Coturnix japonica: one gene and its partners. The protein of the gene in region 2 binds, or shares a complex with, the protein of the main gene of each other region. Links are inferred from orthologs where the notes say so. Each region holds a gene or a part of one and is shown on either strand. Other genes may lie near its edges.

Region 1 (3,500 bases), on a different chromosome or scaffold from region 2:
ATAAGACATTTAACAGTACCTAAAACAAGGCATCTTCTCCCTACACCAAATGTGGTAACATACGATTTCTGTTCTAACTTCTCTCGAGCACACACACTCACCAATTTCAAGTTCTTCTCGAGAATGTGCCACGTTGGCTCCATCACTTCAAACATCATGTAATACTGGATATTCTGCACAAAATTCAGCATTCGCTGCCGCAGTGTGAAAGCACCAGCAAACCTAGGGGAGAAATCACACCCACACAACTTTGAGCTAGCAAATGCCACAGAGAACCAAGCCTGCAAAGCCGAGCAAAGCAGAGCTAACTATTTCTGTCCTAGCAAATCCTCTGTTGCAGTCTGAGAGTGATTACAAAGTTATTGCAGAGCATCTCTGATTTAGTTCCATGTATGGAAATGACTTTCCCTTCAACTACAAGATTCAGAGCGTGGCACCTGCTGTGCACTAGACACAGTAATCTGATGACATCCAAACATAAATGGACAGTATTAAAGCCATGTTATCACTTTAACTAGTGAGATGTGTTTGCTAGCAGTGTGCACTACAGATCCCCCCCAGGTCTCTTCCACTAATCCTTATACAGTGTCAAAAGACCAAGAGCCCATGCTGGCTGAGGTCAGTGTCAAGGTAGCTGAGGGTACCCTGTGAGAAGTGAGTGCTGTTGACAAGACAGAAGGTGTTTCCTTGCAGTGCCACAGGCCTGCCCTGTGCTTCATTGAGACCATCTGAGACTGAAGGTGGTGGGCATGGAACAGGCAGAGGTCACAACCCCAAGCTGCCAGCGCTCAATGAGTGTTCTCAGACATAAGGTTTGGATTTTGAGTAGTCCTGTGTGTGGAGCCAGGAGTTGGACTCAAAGATCCTCATGAGTCCCTTCCAATTCAGGACACCGTGTGTTCCTTACAATTCCTTTTCCAAACTTTGCGCCACCAAAGAGAAACAAGTCAAGCAGCCTGAAGATTATTCAGCAGACACTTCCTACTGCATCCTAAAATGTTCTGTCTGACCTCCCTCTGCCTGTCAGAAATTTGCAACGATATGTTCCATGTCAAAATAATCTGATTCATGCCACAATGCATCTAACTAGGGAGAAGGAAAAAAACAAAGCCTCAACAGAAAAAGAAGCCATACCATTTAGCTGAATGTAGGGAGAACTGCTTGGCTGTTTTATTGCTGATCCAAACATTGCACAACTGTCTTTCCACGTGTTTGCAATAGAACATGTGTCTGAAAAGCATCTGGTATCTTGTCAGTGCTTTCCTGGAAAGAAAGGGGATTCAGATTAAGTTCTCTTCTGATTGACAGAATAAGCCGTGAAGGCTGAAGCTACTTCAAGGGAGTCTTAACACAATATGCTCCATACACCTTCAGACACACACACACACCTTTGATGAAATAATTCTAACAGATGAATAAAAAACTAAAAGCATGTGTAATCATCCCAAAGGATTTCGTCCTTCACCAGGTACTTCATGAGCCTCTTTCTCTGATGCCCTCGATCAACCTGCAGAAAGATCACTTACATACAAGCTGGGACAGAGGTCTGAAAACCTACAGTTGTGTCTGTGCTGCACCAACGTTGCTATGACTGCCACAGTAATTCACCAGGATTTTCCAATAAGATAAACTGCAACCAAGCTATAGGCAGCACTGTCAGAAGCAGATGGGGATGCTTATTTATAGCCTCGGGGACTGGGTGCAGGTCTGTGCTCAGACACTTCAGCTGTAGGCGTCTACAGAGCTCCAGCCAATACAGTTTGTGAAACTGTACTTAGTATTTTCACTTCCATAGTTACCATCGAAGTTAATACACCCATTATGAACGAAAGAGACATAATTTCAGATACGTTGTGTCATTATGAAGGTTCCACTGTGTCAATTGATTATTTTACAGAAGTGAGGAGATACTGCTGGCATTTACCACCTAATGCTGCCTGACCCATTTGCCTGGCTCACAGTCTGCCAGTGCCCTGTTTCCGTGGAGAAGCAAGTCACTATAGAAAAACAAAGCATTCTGTTTATCCTAACTCAATTTAATGCAAAATGGCCCAGACGTTGCAGCATTTTGCTGTTTGGAAACGTAAACCTGTACAAAAGCTTCTGACCATTTTTGTTTGTTTTATGGTAGATGGATACCTTACCTGTTTATAATCAGGGACAGAGGCCACTTAACAATATAGTCAAAAGAAAATGCTTCCAGACCACTGAGAGTGAGCTCTGTGGGATCCGCACCTATAATGGCCTTTTCCTGTTTTGTTTCTATGGCCAATACTCTCAAGAGCTGCGTAATGAGGTCATGGGGCATCAAATCAATCTACAAAGAAAGAGCAGAAAAACAATGAAGCCACAGGGTACTCACAAGTACCAGGTAACAACAGTTGAGTGACAGAAGAGTTACAAATTGTCAGAGATAATCTCCAGTCATTACATCAACCTAGGGAGCAATGAGGAATAGCATCATCTGAACAGTGCTGCAGCAGACAGCAGAGCAGTGTTGCTGTGCAGTTTATAAAGTCATATCAACCTCCCCAAGCACAGCTTGTGTGCTGGTTCACATTTGTTAAGGCTTTCAACCGAGCTGCAACAATCATTAGTAGTCAGAACTTATAATCAAGGATTTTCTTGTACTCCAAAATGGGCATCCAAGATTGAGAATGTGGGTGAGAGATACATTACTGCTTTCACCTCATCCTGATGCCACTCTAAAGCACTTTCTCCGTGCTCAGACATCAACAAGAAAACGCAGCCCCTTGCTGCATTGCTTCCCATTGCTACTGTCAATGAAATAAAGAGACTTCACCCAGAGAAGGTCTACAGAAATACAGTCATCAATTCTTCTCTTTTTCACTGCATTTTCAGCAGTTTCTCATAGGCACAGAGACCTCCTCAATACACAGCAAGCCTTTTGCTCATGCACTTTTTTACCTTTAAATCATCCTTGAAAGGGTCTGTGTTGGCTGTGCTCATTCGCAAGGCCAACTCAAGCAGTGCTTCTAGCCTAGTAGTTATAATGTCATCTACAGGCTTCTTAAGTTCCTCTTCTGTGAGATCCATGAAATGAACAAAAAAGTCCCCTTGATCCATCAGGAAATAATGTTTTATAGATCTGCTCAAGAAAATGAAGATCATTGATTATTGTTTCCAAAAAAACCATGGTTTTTAACTTGCTTTTTTAACAGACAAAAATAACCTACTTGGAAACTATTTTTTAAATTTTTTTTATGTGTGCTGTCCCAGGAAAAGAGAGCTAACTTTAAAACCTGACATTTGCCATCAGAACCAACCTATCTAACACATATTTAACAAAACAAATCAAACCTTAGGTGAGCCACAAGCTCTTTCTCCTCCATTAGGAAATCCAGAAGCACTTTGCTAGCATAGTTGTATGCTTTTTCTATTTGTTCTACATACGCTCGCTCTTTTAACGTGTAGATGACCTCTTTAGCCACAGGGCAGGTAACATCACGTCCACATTCTCGCACAACGTTCAAGTATTT
Region 2 (2,697 bases):
TTTAATTACCTATATAGAAGACTGCCTTGGCTGTATCAGTCAAGGGATACAGGCTGAGGGAGCTGGGCTTGTTCAGCCTGGAGAAAAGAAGGGCTTGTTCAGCCTGGAGAAAAGAAGGCTGCAAAGAGACCTCAACTGCACACTTCCAGTGTTTAGAAGGGGATTATAAACAGGAGCGGAATCAACATTTTACAAGGGTAGAGAGTGATAAGACAAGGGGGAATGGTTTTAAGCTCAAGGAGGAAAGGTTTAGATTGGATGTCAGGAGGAATTTCTTTACAGAGAGACTGATGAGGTGCTAGCACAGGCTGCCCGGAGCTGTGGATTCCGCATCCCTGGAGGTGTTGAAGACCAGGTTGGATGGGGTCCTGGGCAGCCTGCTCCAGCACCACATGTGGAGGTTGGTGGCCCTGCCTGTGGCAGGGGTTTGGAACTTGATGACCATTGGGTCCCCTACAACCCAAGCCATTCTGTGATTCTATGATCCTTTCTTCAAGCAAACAGCTAAACTGGAGACAGTAGTCATGAAAAAGAAAATAAGGTACATGTATTCTAGAATGAATGAATTCAACTTATTTGAAAGTAAGGCTTTATGTTTCTCTGACTACTTCATTTATTACTTTCACAAATGAGATTCTTTAATCTGTACTGACTAACAGATTAAAACTTAAACACATTTTGTGTGATGAGTGCAGGCAAATGAAAAGAATCATGTACTTACAGTGAGGAAATGAGCCTCGGCAGACAGCTTTGTTGAGGACAGTTACAAGAAACATGTGGCAGTTTTTAAAGTCAGACTCCATTTTCTCTATGGATTCCATCCTACAAAGTAGAAGGGAGGTACACTTACCACTCAGTTGAGCAACTGTTACCTTCAAAATATAACCACAATTTCACAGCGAACGACCAGCACGTTCTCTGCATTGCATTCCATCTTGAATTTAAAAGATTCTAGTTATATCTGAGTATGCCACACTAGCTGTGGCAAATTTAGACTGGAGTGCCTGAGCACTGTATCAGAGTGGCATTACTAAGGATAGTCATCTCTTTGTAAGTGTCTGCAGTTACTAGGGGGAACTTTGTGGTTTCAGCTGATGAGTCTGAGGTCTTCACAGGAATTTCAAGACAGCCATTCCTTGTGCCAATTGCTTTGGAGATAAACTTACAGTGCCAAATAAAACGGAGACAGATAGCAAGTTAAACAGGCCCCAATCACCCATACTGCCTTCTTATTACAGAATCACAGAACAACACACAATTGTAGGGGCAGGAAAGGAACTCTAGAGGTCACCTAGACATTACATGAAAATCTTCACCCCAAAGTCAACTTTCATAGATTTCAACATGTCCACATTTTTGCCCTTGAAATTTTCACAAAGGTTTTATAATGTGGACAGTCTAAGTTACAGAAATAAGGTTATTTAGGTATTAGATTTAGATTTGGATGAATACCTCTTTTTGTTGCTACACTCTGCAATCTTTTCAAATACTCTAAAGATACCTAGGAACCATACTTGGCATTAGAAAACGCTGAATATGCACTCACACAAGCATATGTTATGTTCTATCTCAGATAATTTTCACTTTTGTTAAGAAACCGTGATTAGCTTCTGGCACCTACTGTTAAACATCCCAAAAGCACATTGTGAGCTGTGAAATCATGACTGTGTATTATTTTAGGTATGTACACTTACTTCCAAGCTCCCAAACCCGCTTGCCAACGGTCTGCAAACATCAGCACTACATTTAAAACTTTCATTATAGCCTCCTTCACAAAGCTCACCTAAAGTCACAAAAGGAATAGCAATAAGAAAAATAATTGTTAATGAATTGCATAATCATTTTCATTGTTAAGGATACAAAAGTATCCTACGCCATTTAATCTCATCTGTAAAAGTGGTCTCCAAGGTATTAGACAAGACTGCCCAGTTAAGATGTATCTTGTATTTGCCCTCATTCATTTCATGATGATTTCACTGAGGATTAGCACAGACAGTATATGAGATTGATGACTGCAACAATGTATGTCTTCATTTCCTACCACACTAGCACGTACAATCCTCACTACATTTCCAAGCCTGTTTGTTCAAATCCCAGCACCTCTGAAAGACAAATGTATGTAAACTCCAATGTAAATGATTTAATTTTCTCTTCTTTATAGAAACAAAACTGAGACTTATGAGGGAAACAACATCACCATTAATCCTGAACAAGTTACCGCTTCCTCAAAAGGATCTATTTATTACAATGTATGTATGACCTACAAAATAGTCACAGCATAGTTAGTACAAAACTATTATCATGCCCTACTGAACTCAATACATCAAATATTCCGTTTTTACCCACCTTTTCTCTTAGTAAGCAGCGATCATGGATTGTAGATAGGTATCTATAATGAATCTTTATTAATTGATCCAAATCTTTAGCTTCTTCTACCTGGTGCTGAAATTCCAAGCCGGTACTGTGAAGAATCTGAAAGAGAAAACCACAGCTAATTAAATCCTATGTTGCACAGAAATCCTTGTGACTCATTTCCAAGACTTTCTTTTTGAGAGCCAATAACTGCCTGATACATTCACTCTTCCCTTTCCAGTCTCAGCTGTGAGGCTCATCCTGCTAGCCACTAAAAAGTAAAAACTCTGAATTCATCTCATAACTCAGTGATGTTTTGTATACTTTGTACAAGTAGGAACATTA
Region 3 (3,500 bases), about 42 Mb from region 2:
TTTATAAAAATTCAACTTTATCCAAACTCTTTCTAGATAGGTACCACTTCCACTAGACTTGCCACCACAAGAAGTATTCCATGTCTGGAAAGTAACTTATTAAAACTACAGTCAAGCAGAGAAGCCCGTAGACCAGGTACCACTCAGACACCTGAGCATGGTGCTTAAACAATGCCCAGGCCTCACAGTGCTGAGCAAGGACACAGCAGCTGCAGCAAGGGGCTGACTCTACCCTGATTGCTAGCACATCGTCGTCTAGTACACAGTAGCTGGTAGTTTATAAGTTATCCCAGAACTGGTCTCTTTCAAGCTGTGCTACTGCAGCTGTTCCAGTGTAAGAAGAGGAAAAGACTGGGATCCAGAAGGCAACAGTTATCTTTTCCCTGCTAGTCTAAAGCTAAGATAATACAGTGCAGTACCAAACAACTGTTAGGTAAACTTTATTCTAGCCATTGCTTATCAGCAGATCTACCCCCATCAGTGAACATAAACACCTCTGTTCTATAGAAATGCTGGTAATATTTAATCACCCAGCCCTAGGGCTTTCTTAACACTCTAAGAAAATACAGACTACAAAGTAAAAGAGAACTCCTAGAAGCCAGGCCTGCTGTATTACCTTTCAGAACACAAAGCAATACAAAATGGTCTGCCTTCATAAATATTTGTTATGCATAATGGGAGCAGAGTTTTTCGAAGACTAGGCATGTTCTCCTGATCAAAGTATCCAAAACTTCCGTTTATGACAAAGATAAACAAGATTCCTGTTTCCAGACAGTCTATTTTTGCAGGCTAAAAAGGAGCAACATAGAATACCTATTCATTCTGAACTCAAACGGGAAAAAAAGAAATGAGGAATTCCTGATCTAGTAGTGTTATCGAATTAAATTAATAAGAAAACTAGTTAAGTGACACAGTCAAAAACTTACTCGAGCGGCTGAGGCTACTGAATCTGGGCCATGAGCTGCATTTTTTAGGCCATCATGTCCGAAGTTTGCTCTGATGCTTTCCGGTTCATCAGTTCGAGCAACTGCAGAATTTGCAGGCCCCAATAATGTCTTCCACTTACAAATTGCATCATCCCGTAAGATTTCCATAGCAACAACAGGACCACTTGTTATAAACTGGAGAAGCTCACTGCAAAATGGAAACAGCATATGGTGATCCAGGCTGTAAATTAAAGCCAACGAAAATATGCAATCCAGTAGAGATGTTCAAAACTCAACTCAGCAAAGCCTATGAACAACCTAACCTAACTTTGTAGGCTCTGCTCTGAGGACAACTTTTGTTCTCATTGATTTGAAATGATTTATAATTGTTTCTAAATTTGAGAAGAATCCTATATAGAAGATGTAGTGAATAACACTCTAGAAGGAAAGACCAAGCAGGCATGGACAAAAGCTTAAGGTCCCACAGATAACTACAAGTTGTGTAGACAGACATCTGTGAAATAACAGCACAGGCAAAACTCTTGCTTGCAAATCAACATATTCAAACATAATTATTCAGCAAAGAAAATGGAGTTCTAGATCTCCTGATCTCCATCATGGTCAGACATAGCCTGTACTTATGTCTCACTGAAGGGCTTGAGTTTGGACCCACAATAAATCAGTTGCTGTTGCAGAACAATAAATATATGCATCAAGTTAAAAAAACAATGTACCTACTTATAAAAAGGTCTTGATTGATGGTCTACGTAGAAATCAGCTGCTTCTTTTCTGGAAGAGTAAACAGACACAGCTTTATATATGCACAGGCATTTATATGTGCATATATATATACACGCACACTCGCACGTATATATAAACCCTGAGAACCACAAACTATCATTCATCAACATTTTTCTACACATAATGCCTTCCCAAGTTGGAAAATGTATGGGGCATTCATACCCAGTAAAAGAATTCATACCCATACACTGCTCCAGAAGTAATGCCTCCTATTTATTTCAACAGAAACTGCAATAGATACAAAGAGTACAATAACATTATTTGATAGTATTTGTACCTGAGAATCTTCTCTGCTTTTTAACAGTTACTTCCACTAGCTGTGCATTTTCACCAGTGATAAACCAGACCCTGCATGCCACTCCCATCCAAAACTGCACCAGTGGAAGTGACCCACTATTGTTGTCACCAGTGTTGAAATGTAACCACCTGCCATCTTACTTGGCCCACATCTGCTGTTTGGTTCCCAGAAACACTCAGTAAGCATCAGTGAATGTCTCTGGGTGCTATTTTTTCCTGCATGGAGGAATTCAATATGACACACCTTTGCTTCATCTGCATTCCCATGTCAGATGCCACTTTGTCAGACTGCCCCTCTTCTGCCATCTGCCACGTGGAAACAGCATGTGAGGGAATACTGCTGTGAAGGTTCAGCCTCCACCACCATCTCACACAATATCACAGGAGGCATTACTTTTGGAGCAGCACTCTTACATTTAACTTTGTCATACTGAGCATGGTCAGAGGTATAATCGACTCCTCTTCACAGTCCTGATCTGGGAAGGAAGTTATCACTGCAACCTGTAACTAAGATTTTCAAGGTCACTGATGGGCTCCACATTCTCAGGTTGGGAAACAAACAGCAGAAACAGCCACTTGACAAGCTGTTCACTGTTACATTGCTTTGATCTTGCAGTTCAGCTTGAGTGTGTATGTTGGGTAACGAAATCTGGTTTTAAAGCATAAATAAACAATTTATCTGCTTCATTGAAACTTATTTCCTTATTGGAGCTAGTGTTTGATGACAGTTAACAACAGCATATTGCATAATCTGGTTTCTACTCAGTATCCACAAATGTTACAATTCAAATAGGCAGCACAACCCCTCTAGATTAAAACATGCTTTCTCATACTCTTTTCCCTTTGATAACTGAGTATTGTCATGCACTTCCCTCAGGGAGAACTCCAGTTACTAGCATTGCCTTCTCTCATAGCAAGGGATTTCCATAATGAGGAGGGCTCTGTATCTTGTCAGGTAAACAAAGGCCAGCAAGCACACAAAGTATCCATACTGCAGCTGTTATTTAGTCACAGTACCTAAGTACAGAGACAGCACAGCTGATGCTGCAGGCTAAATGCCAGAATATTCATCATTAACACAGGATGATGGCCCTCTCCAAGCTTTACATCGCCACAGCCATGCTGCTAGTTAGTGCTCAGTTTCAGGGTCTGCAGTACAGGCCCACGTTCCATCCACCTGTGAAACATCACTTTGGCTTTTCACCTTCCCACTTCCTGTGCTAGACAGCCCACTCTCCTCCCTCCTTTTTCTCAAACCACACCTCGTGCAAACTCTTGCTGCCTTCACTGTTTTTTTCTACATGAAAACAGCTAGAAGAATCTATGAGAGTTTTCAAGTTTAGCTGTTATCTTCCAACTGCAACTTCAAAATTCCAGTTCAGAAGTGCAGGTTTGGTCTTGGCTTGCTCCAAATCCTTGTGCGTAGCATATTCTGATGCTGTAATTTGAGGAGAAGGATAAGCTCTTCAGATGGAC

Evidence for each region. The genes of interacting proteins can lie anywhere in the genome.
Region 1: TUBGCP5 (region 2) and TUBGCP2 share a complex: the UniProt entries of both Homo sapiens proteins name them as parts of the gamma-tubulin ring complex. The link is inferred for Coturnix japonica from reciprocal best matches to the Homo sapiens genes TUBGCP5 and TUBGCP2.
Region 3: TUBGCP5 (region 2) and NME7 share a complex: the UniProt entries of both Homo sapiens proteins name them as parts of the gamma-tubulin ring complex. The link is inferred for Coturnix japonica from reciprocal best matches to the Homo sapiens genes TUBGCP5 and NME7.

Annotation. Positions count from the first base shown.
Region 1 is NC_029521.1:5,974,008-5,977,507, reverse strand, and holds part of TUBGCP2 (gamma-tubulin complex component 2), read right to left. Parts: coding exon 3,322-3,500; intron 3,110-3,321; coding exon 2,929-3,109; intron 2,318-2,928; coding exon 2,145-2,317; intron 1,264-2,144; coding exon 1,135-1,263; intron 223-1,134; coding exon 102-222; intron 1-101. UniProt on the Homo sapiens protein: Component of the gamma-tubulin ring complex (gTuRC) which mediates microtubule nucleation.
Region 2 is NC_029516.1:117,471,990-117,474,686, reverse strand, and holds part of TUBGCP5 (gamma-tubulin complex component 5), read right to left. Parts: intron 2,473-2,697; coding exon 2,347-2,472; intron 1,784-2,346; coding exon 1,695-1,783; intron 823-1,694; coding exon 722-822; intron 1-721. UniProt on the Homo sapiens protein: Component of the gamma-tubulin ring complex (gTuRC) which mediates microtubule nucleation.
Region 3 is NC_029516.1:74,983,862-74,987,361, reverse strand, and holds part of NME7 (nucleoside diphosphate kinase 7), read right to left. Parts: intron 1,716-3,500; coding exon 1,665-1,715; intron 1,135-1,664; coding exon 927-1,134; intron 1-926. UniProt on the Homo sapiens protein: Possesses an intrinsic kinase activity. Displays 3'-5' exonuclease activity with a preference for single-stranded DNA. Does not seem to have nucleoside diphosphate kinase activity.